Saccharomyces cerevisiae S288C: one gene and its partners. The gene in region 1 interacts genetically with each later gene. Each region holds a gene or a part of one and is shown in the gene's direction. Other genes may lie near its edges.

Region 1 (2,722 bases):
ATAACCAGCATTAAGTATTCTCTCCACAGTTCCAACAGCAGTTGCTCCTTTCTTGCATGCGATTTGGTGTTCAATTTTCCTCTTCTTTTTGGGTGGTACAACACACTAGGGGAAGTATTGGACCGCCCCACATTCTTGTTATAAACAGATCTTGTGGTTGGGGTCGTTGAATTCTGTTTAATTGTTTTCGTCGCCGTCGCAGGCATAGTCGTCGGGAGACTACCTGGTTGTGATTTGGGTAGTTTCCTACTTATGGAGCGGTTCCTTAGATACGGTGGACGACTACTGGTTGCATACATCTGGCTTCTTAAAAATGGGATAGGAGTTACCGCAGGGTCCCTGCTAGTGAGATTTCTGATAGCGTGTAAGTTTACCGGTTGCGAAGCCAGGACATTTGCAATATCCATTTGTTCCAGTTCTATATAGTTCAAAACGGATGTCAGCTCCTTCTTGCTCCTGAATCTTGACCGTACCTTTGCTTGCCTGTCTTCCCTGCGTATGGAGTGTTGCCTCTTCAAAAACCCTTTGTGAAAAATGAAATTATGATTCTTGCTGAACTTGGAGAGTTCATTTTTGCTGGTAAAGTCTGTTCTTCGTTGTGAAGTGTGTCGAATTGGCTTTGCGTTTATGGTAGGAGAGCGAGACCTCATCTTATAATTCGACCATTGCGTAAACTGTTCCATCACTTCAGTGCTTTCAACCTGGTCCGCTTTGCTTATGTTACGGTTCCTCAAGTGCGAAGCATCGTGGTACTCCATATATGGTTTGAAGCTGTCGTGTGTTATATGAGAGTCATCCGATATTTGCACTATAGGAATCTTGGTATCTGAATTTGAATTTGTGTTCGAATTTGTGTTCGAATTTGTGTTCGAGTTCGAGTTCGAGTTCGATGTAGAATCCACAAGCGCATGTATATAACCTGAAGTGGTAAACCCACCGGTACCCAGGGGAGGTGGGAACAAAGTCGGGGGATAAGACTGAGTCCCAATGCTAGTCTCGTATGTCTCCATTGTCTGTATGGTTGTATTTCAAGACGTATCTGCAAGAAAACTGATGTTTGCGAGTTAGGAACAGGGAAAAATACATGAATTAAGAAATACGAACGATCTTAACTATTTTCAACAGTACCTGAAACATGGATGTAAAAACGTAGAAGATACCCGAATAAAGTGGGGCGCACACCGGACTTGAAACCACTCCTCCTTTACCAAGCACTAATTTAAGCTAATCTAATTTAACGCAGTACATTTTGTATGCGCGGCAGCAGCTTAATACATTGCTGTCATTCACTAATGGAAAAAAAAAAAAAAAAAAAAAATCAAAATATAAAAATAAATATTAAGAACTTAAAAAGACAAACCAGCCATCGCGTGGCGCTAGCACATATATCTTACCCGACGGAGAGCCGGGTAAAGAAGTCGGGTAACCATTAAAATAAAAAATCAGCACACCATAGCACGATCTACGAGAAACGGAAAAGTGTTAGAGATCACATACTGCATACTTGGCAAGAAGAAGGTTCGTTTTTCCCTTCTGATACTGTAAAAGATTAGGTTGGTAGAAGAAATCTACATAGTAGAACTCACACCCCATACACACAAAAAAGGCAACAATGGACAAAATCAGAGAAAAGCTAAGCAACTTGAAGTTGGAAGCCGAATCATGGCAGGAGAAGTACGAGGAGTTGAAAGAGAAGAACAAGGACTTGGAGCAAGAGAACGTCGAAAAGGAGAATCAGATCAAGTCTTTAACCGTCAAAAACCAGCAATTGGAGGATGAGATCGAGAAGCTGGAAGCGGGACTTTCTGACTCTAAGCAAACAGAACAGGATAACGTTGAAAAAGAAAATCAGATCAAGTCCTTGACGGTGAAGAACCACCAATTGGAGGAAGAGATCGAGAAGTTGGAAGCAGAATTGGCTGAATCCAAGCAATTGTCCGAGGACTCTCACCACTTGCAGTCCAACAACGACAATTTCTCCAAGAAGAACCAGCAATTGGAAGAAGACTTGGAGGAAAGCGACACCAAGCTAAAGGAAACCACTGAGAAATTGAGAGAGTCCGACTTGAAGGCAGATCAATTGGAAAGAAGAGTAGCTGCCTTGGAAGAACAAAGAGAAGAATGGGAAAGAAAGAACGAGGAATTGACCGTCAAGTACGAAGACGCAAAGAAGGAACTGGACGAAATTGCTGCATCTCTGGAAAACTTGTGATCTACTTTTGTTTTTTGTTTTCTTTTTCTTTTCCCCAACACGCTGGTCTTTGTTCCTTGTTCTTGAGCAAATCAAACGCTCATGGGCAAACGAAACTAAAATAAGAACCATTTATACAAATACAATAGCTTAGACTATACATCTGTATACTTTTCCCTTGAAGATGTTTTTGTTCTTTACCGTTTGCGTGCTGATTTATGATGTTTTTACATTGGGCGTTATTACCCGAGCGGCGTTTTGTTCGTGGGACTCACACTTGTGCCTGCTCCCATGTTAAGTTTTGCACGGTTTATCACATGGACAAAGGCATTCTCATATTACACAGCTACATGTGATATATATCGGGCGTTTCCACGTGTACAAGAACCTGAAAAGTTTATCGGAAGACTAAGTTTTGGGTTGCCCACCGTCTGTGCATCTACGTGAACACACCAGGGTTTCTCATTTCTTTTTTCTTTAAGTTTTTTTTCTCTTCCCTTCCCTTCCTTTGGTCAAATAATCTTATTTGAT
Region 2 (3,634 bases), on another chromosome or scaffold:
TTAAGATAAGTTGACATGTCATTGAAACTGTAACTAGTGTTTACTGAACTGCATTCGTTGCCAATCCAGAATGGTGGTAAGTAGAAATCTCCAACTCGTGGAATTCTCGCTATCATAAACTCTGATGTCCTTAACTTGTAAATTTCGTCTACGGTGGGATCATCAATTGGTGTGTGTGTAAATTCGTTTGCAAAATATTCACCCCATTCTTCATTTATTTTAACTGCAGCTCGTAATCTGTCTGTAGTTACTTTTTCGCTCAATGATTTCCGAACACCCTTTAGAAATTTCATCTGACTATTGATCTTACTCAGTTTTCCTTTGTCGCTGGGCTTCCTTTTCTTTCGATTTTCCAACTTTTGACTCATCAAAGAGCATAAAACTTCACAACTATCTAATATGTTATTGGCCCCGCACATAGCAAACCTGCTGGCGTGAAAAGTTTGATGGTTGAACCCTGTATCGCCTTTCAAGTGAGTGAGCCTTTGAATTTCATTATGGAAAAGTGCGGAGTAGCTACAATTCCAATCGATCATGCATCTCAATAATATTATTCTATCTAATGGTTCCATCGTCAACAAACCACCTCCATTAAAATTTAGAGTAGATAAAATATCACTATTACCACGCCATTCTTTTGGTAAGCCCCACTCCTGGATTAAGCTTCTGAGTTTGCCAACCAGTTTTCCATATGGATTTTTCAAACTAAGAAATCTTTTTAGCGTGAAATTTCTATGAGTTTGGTTGTCTGCTCTTTTCTCGGAGCAGAATAATAACCTCAAAAGACTGCAAAATAGTAGATTCATTTTATCCTGACAAATTCGAATATTCTTCGCAGAATGGCCAGCCACCTTTAATTCTAGTCCTATCTCCACATCTTGAAATGACAGGTTCAGTAGATCGTCGCTGAACACCCATTTAAATTTGACGATAAAAGAAAGGATCTTCATAACATCGCCTGCATATGGGAGAGGGGTGCAAAGGGGAGGCGCCCAATTGCTTTCCGTTACCGTCTCATCACTCATAAACTTTGCAAAGTCAGAATATCGTAAAGGAATATTTGGTGACCAGTTTAATGTATTCAATGGTCTATTATTAGAAGTAGTGTGTTCACTGATCGACTCTACCTTGTTAGTGTCGTTCGAATGTGTTTTGATATTAGAATATTTGCTTGCCATATTTGCCTCCATTTCTTTAGTTTTCATTTCTTCATCACAGGTACCTTCATATTTCTCCCGCTTTTTAGTATTTTGGGTAGCAGCATCCAGTGATTCGTCAATTGAACTATTGTGAGAAAGTACAACAGGTTCTTCTACAATTTTGATGTTTCTGAAATCATCAAAGGTCAACTGACCCCTTCTTTTTACCCTAGGCTTTGAAGACTGGTTTTTCTGTTGTTTGACCATAGGTTTCTTGATAAAGTCATCGACCAAGTCTAAATCAATAATTTCTGTCATTATTGTACCTCAAATTTCTTGTTCCTTATTTTCTTGTTTGATGTCTAAAAAAAAGAGATATCCTGGTAATGAGCAGGCCGTTTCTTCAGCTCATACAATCGAAAGCTTAAGAGTTAGTCGTTGATATGGTATTCTCTAATACCGAAAATAACTTAGTACATATAAACGCGTAAAGTTCACGCGTTTATATCACCCTACCATATGACATTCTAACCCTACTAATTTTTTATCAAAGCTAATAGGGTTGTATTTTATTATCTTTTACACCTACCTTTTTTTTTTGTATATGCCCTATAGATGAATTATAATTGTTGGACCGGTTTGTATTGGGCTTTTAAGGTGTAAAGTGAGTGCGTATAGATTATAGCAGAATAGACTATAAGTACGGCAAGACAGGAAAGTCTCCAATTGATGTACATTTTATCGCTTTGTGATCTAGGCAGTCGTTACAAACATGTTTAGAGATAGAACTAATTTATTTTTATCATACCGTAGGACTTTCCCTCATAACATAACTTTCTCATCTGGGAAAGCACCCTTGGGCGATGATCAAGATATTGAAATGGGTACATACCCGATGATGAATATGTCTCACGATATATCGGCCAGATTGACAGATGAACGAAAAAACAAGCATGAGAATCACAGTGATGCGTTACCACCCATATTTATTGATATAGCGCAGGATGTTGATGATTATCTTCTGGAGGTGAGACGGTTAAGTGAGCAGTTGGCGAAGGTTTATAGGAAGAATTCGTTACCTGGCTTTGAAGACAAGAGTCATGATGAGGCGCTGATTGAAGATCTAAGTTTCAAAGTAATTCAGATGCTGCAGAAATGTTACGCTGTTATGAAACGATTAAAGACCATATACAACTCTCAATTTGTGGATGGTAAGCAATTAAGTCGAGAAGAGCTGATTATACTAGATAATCTACAGAAGATCTATGCAGAAAAGATACAAACTGAAAGTAATAAGTTCAGAGTATTACAAAATAATTACTTGAAATTCTTGAACAAGGATGATTTGAAACCTATCCGCAATAAGGCCAGTGCAGAGAACACGCTATTATTAGATGATGAGGAAGAGGAGGCAGCAAGAGAGAAGAGAGAGGGCCTCGATATTGAAGACTATTCAAAAAGGACGTTGCAGAGACAGCAACAGCTTCATGACACTTCTGCAGAAGCATATTTGAGAGAACGTGACGAAGAAATTACTCAGTTGGCAAGGGGTGTATTAGAAGTGAGCACTATTTTCAGGGAAATGCAAGATTTGGTTGTTGACCAGGGGACTATTGTGGACAGGATTGATTATAATCTGGAAAATACAGTGGTAGAGCTAAAAAGTGCAGATAAAGAGTTGAATAAAGCAACACACTACCAGAAGAGAACTCAAAAATGTAAAGTCATTTTATTACTAACATTGTGCGTAATAGCGCTCTTTTTCTTTGTTATGTTGAAACCACATGGCGGTGGCAGTGGTGGTCGTAATAATGGTAGCAACAAGTACAACAATGATGATAATAAAACAGTTAATAACAGTCATGATGACGGCAGTAATACCCATATTAATGACGAAGAGAGCAACTTGCCGAGTATCGTTGAAGTAACAGAATCTGAGAATGATGCTTTGGATGACCTACTTTGATGACAAAACTTTCACGGTACCGCATCGCGATTTTGAACTATAATATGCTTTGAAGAAAATTGAGAGATTTAGTCAGCGTTCATATGACCTGTTGCTCGTTCTATTTGAGAAAAGTGAAAAGGTTAATATATGATTTCAATAAAGTATGTAGTATGATAATAAAATACAAATTTATATGGGATAAAATTGAACCGCAAGTAAAGACTGGCGAACGAATATTGTGCATAAGTAGTTCCTGAAGATGATAAAATATGGTTTAATACAAGTTGGTGGTTATTGTGATTTGTAGAATATAAAAAAAAAAAAAGAACCTTCATTTTTCTTTTTTTACCTAAATCCGTAAGGATTGTTCAGTGAAGTAGTAGCTCGGGGCAAGTTTTTGTTTTGCATTCTCCTCTTATAGGCAGGCTTATATCCTTGTGTTATCGGGCTTTGGTTTGGTAAAGGATTCGGAGCAAAACCGACGCCTGGTACCGGATTTCTGTGCTGTGGCACTTGGTTTGGGGCAACGTTGAAATAAGGATTGCTT
Region 3 (6,776 bases), on another chromosome or scaffold:
TTTTTTTCGAAATTCTGTTGAATTTATTCGAACTCAGAATTGGTCCATCAAGAGCATCCAAAATACAAAATAACTCATCATCACACAAGAAGAAGCACAACTCCAAGCAATTTCTACAATATGTCAAAAAAACTTGCGTCACCATTGTCCTTCTTACCCCTTTATAATTTGCTTTCTGCTGTTGGTTGGTCTTATTTGCTTTACTTGGTCATCTCCTTGTACCCAAAAGTTGGACAGCCAGCATTCTTCTACCAAACTAAAAATGTCGCTACCCTTGTTCAATGTGGTGCTATAATCGAGATCATAAACTCATTTTTAGGAGTTGTACGTTCCCCATTGCTGACCACTGTTGCACAAGTGTCTTCAAGACTACTAGTTGTCCTCGGCATCTTCCAATTGTTGCCAAACACAAGTGGTGTTCAATCAGTTGTTTACATATCATTATTACTGGCATGGTCTATAACTGAGATCGTCAGATACTTGTATTATTTTTTCATGTTGGTATTCAAGAATGGCGCACCAAAGATCTTAATTCTATTAAGATATAATTTGTTCTGGATTTTGTACCCCACTGGTGTTGCCAGCGAACTACGCATTATTTACTGTGCTTTAAATGCAGCTGAATCTCAGTATTCTTTACTTTACAAAAGAATTTTAATAGCGGCCATGCTCGCTTATATCCCAGGCTTCCCAATGCTCTTCCTACACATGGTAGCACAGAGAAAGAAAGTCATGAAAAGTTTAAGATCCTCTTTCGGGAAGAAACTAATTTGAATTCTTTAGATAAATTCTTCTGTATTTTTTATAAGAATATTAGCCTTCACATTGAAATGGCTTCAACGCTCTTAACCATAATCACTAGTATCTTGCGGTGCACGGGCTTTATATTGAGCAAAATTGCGAAGGGTAGCCGAATTAGAGAACTCTTAGAAAGATGTCGAAGCTCACTCGGAGTCGACCTTCACAGCCTACTGAAACAACTGTGCCGAGACAATCTTAAGTGTGTTGCTCTAATTTTCATGCTACAACTGAAATTCATATGGCCAGTGGCCAGAATCACACCTATTTATAGGCCATTTACCAGTCATCCATTCAGAAATTTAGCTACTTCCTCAAGCATCAGTAGTACAAAAGCTAAGACTACTAAGACAGATACAACTCCACTAAAATTATCAAATGAACTATATGCAATATTCAAGATTCATAATCGTCCATATTTGGTGACCGAGGGCGACAGAGTTATTCTTCCATTCAAATTGAAGCAAGCGGAGGTGGGTGACATTTTAAACATGACCGATGTAACAACTTTAGGATCTAGAAACTACAAGCTAGTTGGTCATCCAATCAATACTTCTCTGTATACTTTAAAAGCAACCGTTGTTGGGAAAACTAAAAGGGCTTTCCAAACTAGGGAGGTAACGAAGAGAAGAAATAGACGGGTCCGTCATGCAAAGAGTAAAGGTGATTTGACAATCTTAAGAATATCAGAACTGAGTATGAACTGAATTTTAGGGATATGTACATATACGCATACGTATAAAATCATGTAAATAACAATAAAATTTGACACACTTTCTTCGGCCCCAATGGCCATTCAATTCCAGACCGACGCGTCTTCTAAGTTATAATGCTATGAAATTTCAACAAGTTAATTAAAAGTAAGCATAATAATAAAATCAGGTAATGGATTCACCAAAAAAAAAAATAAAAAAACAAGGGCAGAGGGGTGACCATTAGTACGAAACACTAAATATAGTATTAAAATAGTTCAACTCCACCTCCAAATGCCCTTTTTGAGGAAAATAGCGGGGACAGCACATACACATTCTAGGTCTGATTCGAACTCATCTGTGAAATTCGGCCATCAGCCGACTAGTTCGGTAGCATCAACCAAAAGTTCAAGCAAAAGCCCTCGTGCAACATCTCGCAAAAGCATTTATGATGATATTAGAAGCCAATTTCCCAACCTAACCCCCAACTCTACCTCTTCTCAGTTTTACGAAAGCACGCCAGTTATCGAACAATCCTTTAATTGGACGACAGATGACCACATCTCAGCTGGAACGCTTGAAAACCCAACGAGCTTTACAAACAGTTCTTATAAAAATGACAATGGACCTAGTAGCCTCTCTGATTCGAGGAAATCCTCCGGTGGCAATAGCGTAAATAGTTTGTCCTTTGACAAGCTAATTCTATCGTGGGATCCTACAGACCCTGATGAATGGACAATGCATCGCGTCACCTCATGGTTTAAATTTCATGATTTTCCAGAATCCTGGATATTGTTTTTCAAAAAGCATCAATTGTTTGGTCACAGATTTATAAAGTTGCTTGCATATGATAATTTCGCTGTTTATGAAAAGTATTTGCCGCAGACTAAAACTGCTTCATATACCAGGTTTCAGCAGTTATTGAAAAAAACAATGACCAAGAACGTAACAAATAGCCATATTCGTCAGAAGAGCGCTAGCAAACTTAAAAGTTCCAGGTCTTCCAGCGAATCGATCAAATCAAAATTAAAAAATAGTAAATCGCAAGAGGATATTTCAAATTCTAGATCAACGTCAGAATCTGCATTGAGCCCAACAAAATCGGGCCCTTCCAAGACCGATGAAAAGAATTTTTTACATTCTACTTCAACACACCAAAAAACCAAAAGCGCAAGTTCACTATACAGAAGAAGTTTTATATCCCTAAGAGGCTCATCATCGAGCAATGCTTCCTCAGCAAAATCACCTTCAAACATCAAGTTAAGTATACCGGCTCGGCCGCACTCAATTATTGAATCTAACAGTACACTTACCAAATCGGCGAGCCCACCTGCATCTCCTTCGTATCCTAGCATATTTAGAAGACATCACAAAAGTAGTTCATCTGAGTCGTCATTATTAAATTCCCTTTTTGGTAGTGGAATAGGCGAGGAAGCTCCAACAAAGCCTAATCCACAAGGTCATAGTCTGTCTAGTGAAAATTTAGCTAAAGGAAAATCTAAACACTATGAAACTAATGTGTCTTCACCTTTAAAACAATCTTCACTACCCACTTCGGATGATAAAGGTAATTTATGGAATAAATTCAAAAGAAAGAGCCAAATAGGGGTTCCTAGCCCAAATACGGTAGCTTATGTAACGTCTCAAGAAACTCCATCCTTAAAATCGAATTCGAGTACTGCTACCTTAACCGTACAAACGGCAGATGTAAATATACCATCTCCATCTTCATCACCACCGCCAATACCCAAAACTGCAAACAGAAGTTTGGAGGTCATCAGCACAGAAGATACACCTAAAATTTCTTCAACCACGGCGTCTTTTAAAGAAACGTATCCTGATTGTATTAATCCAGACAAGACAGTTCCAGTGCCGGTAAATAATCAAAAGTATAGTGTAAAGAACTTTTTACTGGACCAAAAATTTTATCCTCTGAAGAAAACAGGGTTAAATGATAGTGAGAATAAATATATTCTGGTTACCAAAGATAATGTTAGTTTTGTTCCGCTAAACTTAAAAAGTGTAGCAAAATTATCCAGTTTCAAAGAATCTGCTCTCACAAAATTGGGAATCAATCACAAAAATGTCACTTTCCATATGACAGACTTTGATTGCGATATTGGTGCTGCAATTCCAGATGATACTTTGGAATTTTTGAAAAAAAGCTTGTTTTTGAACACTTCTGGAAAAATTTATATCAAAGACCAAATGAAGCTTCAACAAAAACCGAAACCTGCTCCTCTCACCTCAGAAAACAATGTTCCTTTAAAATCGGTGAAAAGTAAGAGTTCAATGAGGTCCGGAACAAGCAGTCTGATAGCATCGACAGATGATGTTTCCATTGTCACTTCGTCTTCTGACATAACATCATTTGATGAACATGCATCAGGAAGTGGGCGCAGGTACCCCCAAACCCCGAGTTATTACTATGACAGAGTTTCCAATACTAATCCAACTGAAGAATTGAATTATTGGAATATTAAAGAAGTTCTTTCTCATGAGGAAAATGCACCAAAAATGGTTTTTAAAACAAGTCCAAAATTAGAACTCAACCTACCAGATAAAGGAAGTAAATTAAATATTCCTACCCCCATAACAGAAAATGAAAGCAAGAGTAGTTTTCAAGTGCTAAGAAAAGATGAGGGGACTGAAATTGATTTCAATCATCGTAGGGAATCGCCTTATACAAAACCAGAACTGGCACCAAAAAGAGAAGCTCCCAAGCCTCCCGCAAATACTTCTCCTCAGAGGACCTTATCAACTTCTAAACAGAATAAACCGATCCGCCTAGTGAGGGCAAGTACAAAAATTTCGAGAAGCAAAAGATCGAAACCATTGCCGCCACAATTATTATCATCTCCTATAGAAGCTAGCAGCTCGTCTCCTGATTCGCTTACTTCCTCATATACTCCTGCTTCGACTCATGTTTTGATACCGCAACCTTATAAGGGTGCAAACGATGTTATGCGTAGGTTGAAAACAGACCAGGACTCGACGAGTACTTCCCCATCTTTGAAAATGAAACAGAAAGTGAATCGCTCAAATTCAACTGTATCGACTTCAAATTCAATTTTCTATTCTCCTTCACCATTGTTAAAAAGAGGTAACTCAAAAAGAGTTGTTTCGTCGACATCTGCGGCCGATATATTTGAAGAGAATGACATAACATTCGCGGATGCTCCGCCGATGTTTGACAGCGATGATAGTGATGACGATTCTAGTTCATCCGATGACATTATCTGGTCCAAGAAAAAAACAGCTCCTGAGACTAATAATGAAAACAAAAAGGATGAGAAAAGCGATAACAGTTCTACGCATTCTGACGAAATATTCTATGATTCTCAAACGCAGGACAAAATGGAGAGAAAGATGACCTTTAGACCATCTCCGGAGGTCGTTTATCAAAATTTAGAGAAATTCTTCCCAAGGGCTAACTTAGATAAGCCAATCACTGAAGGAATAGCTTCACCAACATCTCCGAAATCCTTAGACAGCCTACTTTCACCAAAGAATGTGGCTTCATCGAGAACTGAGCCAAGCACTCCTTCCCGTCCCGTCCCTCCTGATAGCTCATACGAGTTCATACAGGATGGACTTAACGGTAAAAATAAACCATTGAATCAAGCTAAGACACCTAAAAGAACAAAAACCATAAGAACCATTGCACATGAAGCTAGTTTAGCAAGAAAAAACTCTGTAAAACTAAAAAGACAGAACACCAAAATGTGGGGTACAAGAATGGTCGAAGTGACCGAAAACCATATGGTGTCAATTAATAAAGCCAAAAATTCGAAAGGTGAGTATAAGGAATTCGCCTGGATGAAGGGTGAAATGATAGGGAAGGGATCTTTCGGTGCTGTTTATTTATGTTTAAACGTTACTACAGGTGAGATGATGGCCGTTAAGCAGGTTGAGGTCCCCAAGTATAGCTCACAAAATGAAGCCATTCTAAGTACCGTGGAAGCATTAAGATCTGAAGTGTCCACGTTAAAAGATTTAGATCATCTTAATATTGTTCAATACTTAGGTTTTGAGAATAAAAACAATATTTACAGTTTGTTTTTAGAATATGTTGCTGGTGGCTCCGTGGGATCCTTGATTAGAATGTATGGAAGATTCGATGAACCGTTGATCAAACATTTAACAACACAAGTATTAAAAGGATTGGCATACCTACACTCGAAAGGTATTCTCCACAGGGATATGAAGGCAGACAACTTACTTTTGGATCAAGATGGTATCTGCAAAATCAGTGACTTCGGAATTTCAAGAAAATCAAAGGACATATACTCTAATTCGGATATGACCATGCGAGGAACAGTCTTCTGGATGGCTCCTGAAATGGTTGATACAAAGCAAGGCTACAGTGCAAAAGTTGATATATGGTCTCTGGGATGCATCGTTCTGGAAATGTTTGCTGGTAAGCGCCCGTGGTCCAACTTAGAAGTCGTCGCAGCCATGTTCAAAATTGGAAAGTCAAAATCGGCACCACCAATTCCTGAGGACACTTTACCATTGATATCGCAAATCGGACGAAATTTTCTGGACGCATGCTTCGAGATAAATCCAGAGAAAAGGCCAACCGCTAACGAGCTTCTTTCTCATCCTTTTAGTGAAGTAAATGAAACATTCAATTTCAAATCTACCAGACTCGCGAAGTTTATAAAGTCAAATGATAAGTTAAACTCTTCAAAATTAAGGATAACCTCTCAGGAGAATAAAACTGAATAGCTATTAGGATCGATCTATACTTAAGATATTTATGCATACGTAATAATATAGAACAATAAACATAGATGACGGAATGACGGAATGACTGAAAATTAAGAACAAAGAAAATTAAAAAATTTCTGCTGATACTTATTCAGACGAAAAATGGTGCACAATAAGGGTGTCAAAACGACGATTCGACCCTTCAAATATTACAGTCCTCACCTCTTCGCTGAAGGGCTCACTTTCATCAGGAAGGTCCTCTCCAATAATAAAGGTAGTCTCCTCTATATCAGCTAAAGCAGTATCTGATAAACCAACATCAAGCACAGTCTCTATAAAGGACGGCTTTTCAATTGCTTCTTCTGGAACTTTCGTTTCAAAGGGGATATCCACAATTTTAATGGTAGATTCGTTTAGCCAGTCATGCTCAGCAAATGCAGTTGACAAATCTTTTGCGAAATCAATATTCTTGCTGTTAATAAATATACTACAGGATGCATTATCATTATTATAGCCATCTCTATAGCATATCAATAAGAGAAGATATAGTCCAAGATAATCGGATTGTGTCAG
Region 4 (3,991 bases), on another chromosome or scaffold:
GGACTCAATGAACCACCGAAGTGCGTCTTCGCCAGTGGTACTTACAATGGAGCAAGAGAGAGTGGTTAATTTAATCGTCAAAAAAAGAACAAATGTCTTTTACACCGGTAGTGCGGGTACAGGTAAGTCGGTCATTTTGCAAACGATCATAAGACAATTGAGCTCTTTGTATGGGAAAGAATCAATTGCAATTACCGCCTCAACTGGGCTAGCGGCAGTGACTATTGGTGGTTCCACATTGCATAAGTGGTCTGGTATAGGAATCGGGAACAAAACTATCGACCAATTGGTGAAAAAAATACAATCACAAAAGGACTTATTGGCCGCATGGAGGTATACAAAAGTTTTGATAATTGATGAAATTTCTATGGTCGATGGTAATCTGTTGGATAAATTAGAGCAAATCGCAAGGAGAATTCGGAAGAACGACGATCCCTTTGGTGGTATTCAATTGGTCCTGACAGGCGATTTTTTTCAACTACCACCAGTTGCTAAGAAGGACGAGCATAACGTTGTGAAATTTTGTTTTGAAAGTGAAATGTGGAAACGGTGCATTCAAAAAACGATTTTACTGACAAAGGTTTTCAGACAACAGGATAACAAACTAATTGATATTCTAAATGCCATAAGATACGGAGAGCTGACTGTCGACATTGCTAAAACAATAAGGAACCTAAATAGGGATATAGACTATGCCGATGGAATTGCTCCTACAGAACTGTATGCCACAAGAAGAGAAGTTGAACTATCCAACGTAAAGAAATTACAGTCTCTACCTGGTGATTTATATGAGTTTAAAGCTGTAGATAACGCGCCCGAGAGATACCAAGCGATACTAGATTCTTCATTAATGGTGGAAAAAGTTGTCGCATTGAAGGAAGATGCACAGGTAATGATGTTGAAAAATAAGCCTGATGTAGAATTAGTTAATGGATCATTGGGAAAAGTTTTGTTTTTTGTTACAGAATCGCTGGTGGTGAAAATGAAGGAAATTTACAAGATTGTGGATGACGAAGTTGTCATGGACATGAGATTAGTGAGTCGGGTCATTGGTAATCCCTTGTTAAAGGAATCAAAGGAGTTTCGTCAAGATTTGAATGCCAGGCCATTAGCTAGATTGGAACGTTTGAAAATCTTGATAAACTATGCAGTTAAGATCTCTCCGCATAAGGAAAAATTCCCCTATGTGAGGTGGACAGTGGGTAAAAACAAGTACATACATGAGCTCATGGTCCCAGAGCGCTTTCCCATTGATATTCCCAGAGAAAATGTCGGGTTAGAAAGAACTCAGATTCCATTAATGCTATGCTGGGCACTGTCCATTCATAAGGCACAGGGTCAAACTATTCAAAGACTAAAGGTCGACTTGAGGAGAATTTTCGAAGCCGGCCAAGTTTATGTTGCACTGTCAAGAGCGGTAACTATGGACACCTTACAGGTCCTAAACTTTGATCCAGGAAAGATTCGCACCAATGAAAGAGTAAAAGATTTCTATAAACGTTTAGAAACTTTGAAATGACTTGCAACGAATAAATGCATATACTCTAGTTGAAGTTTTCTTTTCTTGTTCTATACAGGTTCGAATACTTGTGAGCCTATCTGTATAATTTAACAGAATCCCGAAATATTCATCTAGAAGCCATCTATTTAGCTAAGCCTACGTATGCGGCGATTTTTATATTATCTTTTTTTTTTTTTATAGAAGACTGCGAAATGTTGGCAGAATGGAAAGTTTCAGTGTTAAAAATAGAAACTGAAAAAGGAGATCTAGCCAGGAATATATCGAAAAAAAAAGTGAGGGAAATCAGATCCTACACAAATATTTAGATTTAATTGAAGACCCTGGTCTGCCAGATATATATATATATTAGACGAACTGTGCATTCAGTCAGCAAATCTAGGCCACAGATTTTCTTATTGAAGCTATCAAAATAGTAGAAATAATTGAAGGGCGTGTATAACAATTCTGGGAGATGGCTGATAAGATAGAGAGGCATACTTTCAAGGTCTTCAATCAAGATTTCAGTGTAGATAAGAGGTTTCAACTTATCAAAGAAATAGGGCATGGAGCATACGGCATAGTGTGTTCAGCGCGGTTTGCAGAAGCTGCCGAAGATACCACAGTTGCCATCAAGAAAGTGACAAACGTTTTTTCGAAGACCTTACTATGTAAAAGATCCCTACGTGAGCTAAAGCTTTTGAGACATTTCAGAGGCCACAAAAATATTACATGTCTTTATGATATGGATATTGTTTTTTATCCAGACGGGTCTATCAATGGACTATATCTTTATGAGGAACTTATGGAATGTGATATGCACCAAATCATCAAATCCGGTCAACCTTTGACGGATGCTCACTATCAAAGTTTCACATACCAAATATTATGTGGTTTAAAGTATATTCATTCTGCAGATGTCTTGCATCGTGATTTGAAGCCCGGCAATTTGCTTGTCAATGCAGATTGTCAATTGAAAATCTGTGATTTTGGGTTAGCTAGAGGTTATTCGGAGAATCCTGTCGAAAACAGTCAATTTTTGACGGAGTACGTGGCCACTAGATGGTATAGAGCTCCGGAAATAATGTTGAGTTACCAAGGATATACCAAGGCGATTGACGTATGGTCAGCTGGCTGTATTTTAGCGGAGTTTCTTGGTGGAAAGCCAATCTTCAAAGGAAAGGATTACGTTAATCAATTGAATCAAATATTACAAGTTTTAGGGACACCCCCAGACGAAACTTTAAGAAGGATTGGTTCTAAAAATGTTCAGGACTACATACATCAATTAGGTTTCATTCCAAAAGTACCTTTTGTCAATTTATACCCAAATGCCAATTCACAAGCATTAGACTTATTGGAGCAAATGCTCGCGTTTGACCCTCAAAAGAGAATTACCGTGGATGAGGCCCTGGAGCATCCTTACTTGTCTATATGGCATGATCCAGCTGACGAACCTGTGTGTAGTGAAAAATTCGAATTTAGTTTTGAATCGGTTAATGATATGGAGGACTTAAAACAAATGGTTATACAAGAAGTGCAAGATTTCAGGCTGTTTGTGAGACAACCGCTATTAGAAGAGCAAAGGCAATTACAATTACAGCAGCAGCAACAGCAGCAGCAACAGCAACAGCAACAGCAACAGCAGCCTTCAGATGTGGATAATGGCAACGCCGCAGCGAGTGAAGAAAATTATCCAAAACAGATGGCCACGTCTAATTCTGTTGCGCCACAACAAGAATCATTTGGTATTCACTCCCAAAATTTGCCAAGGCATGATGCAGATTTCCCACCTCGACCTCAAGAGAGTATGATGGAGATGAGACCTGCCACTGGAAATACCGCAGATATTCCGCCTCAGAATGATAACGGCACGCTTCTAGACCTTGAAAAAGAGCTGGAGTTTGGATTAGATAGAAAATATTTTTAGGACAAAAAACTATAAGTAACCGGGGAAGTATAGAATCACCATAGATGTAAGCTTACAGACAATGTGTATATATGATGTATATGAACGTATACAAATATATATATATATACGTGCTCTTGTTGTAGCTCGTATATCAAATTCCTCCTCCGACGCTTATCTTAATCGTACTCCGCGGAAGTTTGTTATCGCCTCTTGAATTCTTTCTTTTCGTTCATTTATGATTAGTCATCTATAGACAATATTCATTATTTAAGCACCTAGAATACTAAACTAAATGTCTAAATATGACACAAGGAAGATAAGATAAAAAAAACCAAGCGCTTAGAATATGACTTTAATGGTACCTTTCAAACAAGTTGATGTATTCACTGAGAAGCCCTTTATGGGAAATCCAGTAGCAGTAATAAACTTCTTGGAAATTGATGAAAATGAAGTCAGTCAAGAAGAATTGCAGGCAATTGCCAACTGGACAAACTTATCAGAAACAACGTTTTTATTTAAACCATCTGATAAAAAGTATGATTACAAGTTGAGGATCTTTACTCCAAGAAGTGAATTGCCAT

Evidence for each region.
Region 2: mutations in TPM1 (region 1) and TLG2 together harm fitness more than expected from each alone (negative genetic interaction), as found in Saccharomyces cerevisiae (5 studies listed by BioGRID).
Region 3: mutations in TPM1 (region 1) and BCK1 together harm fitness more than expected from each alone (negative genetic interaction), as found in Saccharomyces cerevisiae (5 studies listed by BioGRID).
Region 4: mutations in TPM1 (region 1) and SLT2 together harm fitness more than expected from each alone (negative genetic interaction), as found in Saccharomyces cerevisiae (7 studies listed by BioGRID, with this or other methods).

Annotation. Positions count from the first base shown.
Region 1 is NC_001146.8:478,056-480,777, reverse strand, and holds TPM1 (tropomyosin TPM1), read left to right. Parts: upstream 1-1,612; coding exon 1,613-2,212; downstream 2,213-2,722. Other genes in the region: NIS1 (Nis1p), read right to left, coding at 1-1,010.
Region 2 is NC_001147.6:290,352-293,985, reverse strand, and holds TLG2 (t-SNARE syntaxin TLG2), read left to right. Parts: upstream 1-1,911; coding exon 1,912-3,105; downstream 3,106-3,634. Other genes in the region: ESC8 (Esc8p), read right to left, coding at 1-1,457; TOS7 (Tos7p), read right to left, coding at 3,433-3,634. UniProt on the Saccharomyces cerevisiae protein: t-SNARE that functions in transport from the endosome to the late Golgi and on the endocytic pathway.
Region 3 is NC_001142.9:245,471-252,246, forward strand, and holds BCK1 (mitogen-activated protein kinase kinase kinase BCK1), read left to right. Parts: upstream 1-1,784; coding exon 1,785-6,221; downstream 6,222-6,776. Other genes in the region: enoyl-CoA hydratase PHS1, read left to right, coding at 121-774; mitochondrial 54S ribosomal protein bL21m MRPL49, read left to right, coding at 1,020-1,505; KHA1 (Kha1p), read right to left, coding at 6,351-6,776. UniProt on the Saccharomyces cerevisiae protein: Serine/threonine protein kinase involved in a signal transduction pathway that plays a role in yeast cell morphogenesis and cell growth. This pathway seems to start by SMP3; then involve the kinase PKC1 that may act on this kinase.
Region 4 is NC_001140.6:168,327-172,317, reverse strand, and holds SLT2 (mitogen-activated serine/threonine-protein kinase SLT2), read left to right. Parts: upstream 1-1,973; coding exon 1,974-3,428; downstream 3,429-3,991. Other genes in the region: RRM3 (DNA helicase), read left to right, coding at 1-1,519; YHI9 (Yhi9p), read left to right, coding at 3,757-3,991. UniProt on the Saccharomyces cerevisiae protein: Serine/threonine protein kinase involved in a signal transduction pathway that plays a role in yeast cell morphogenesis and cell growth.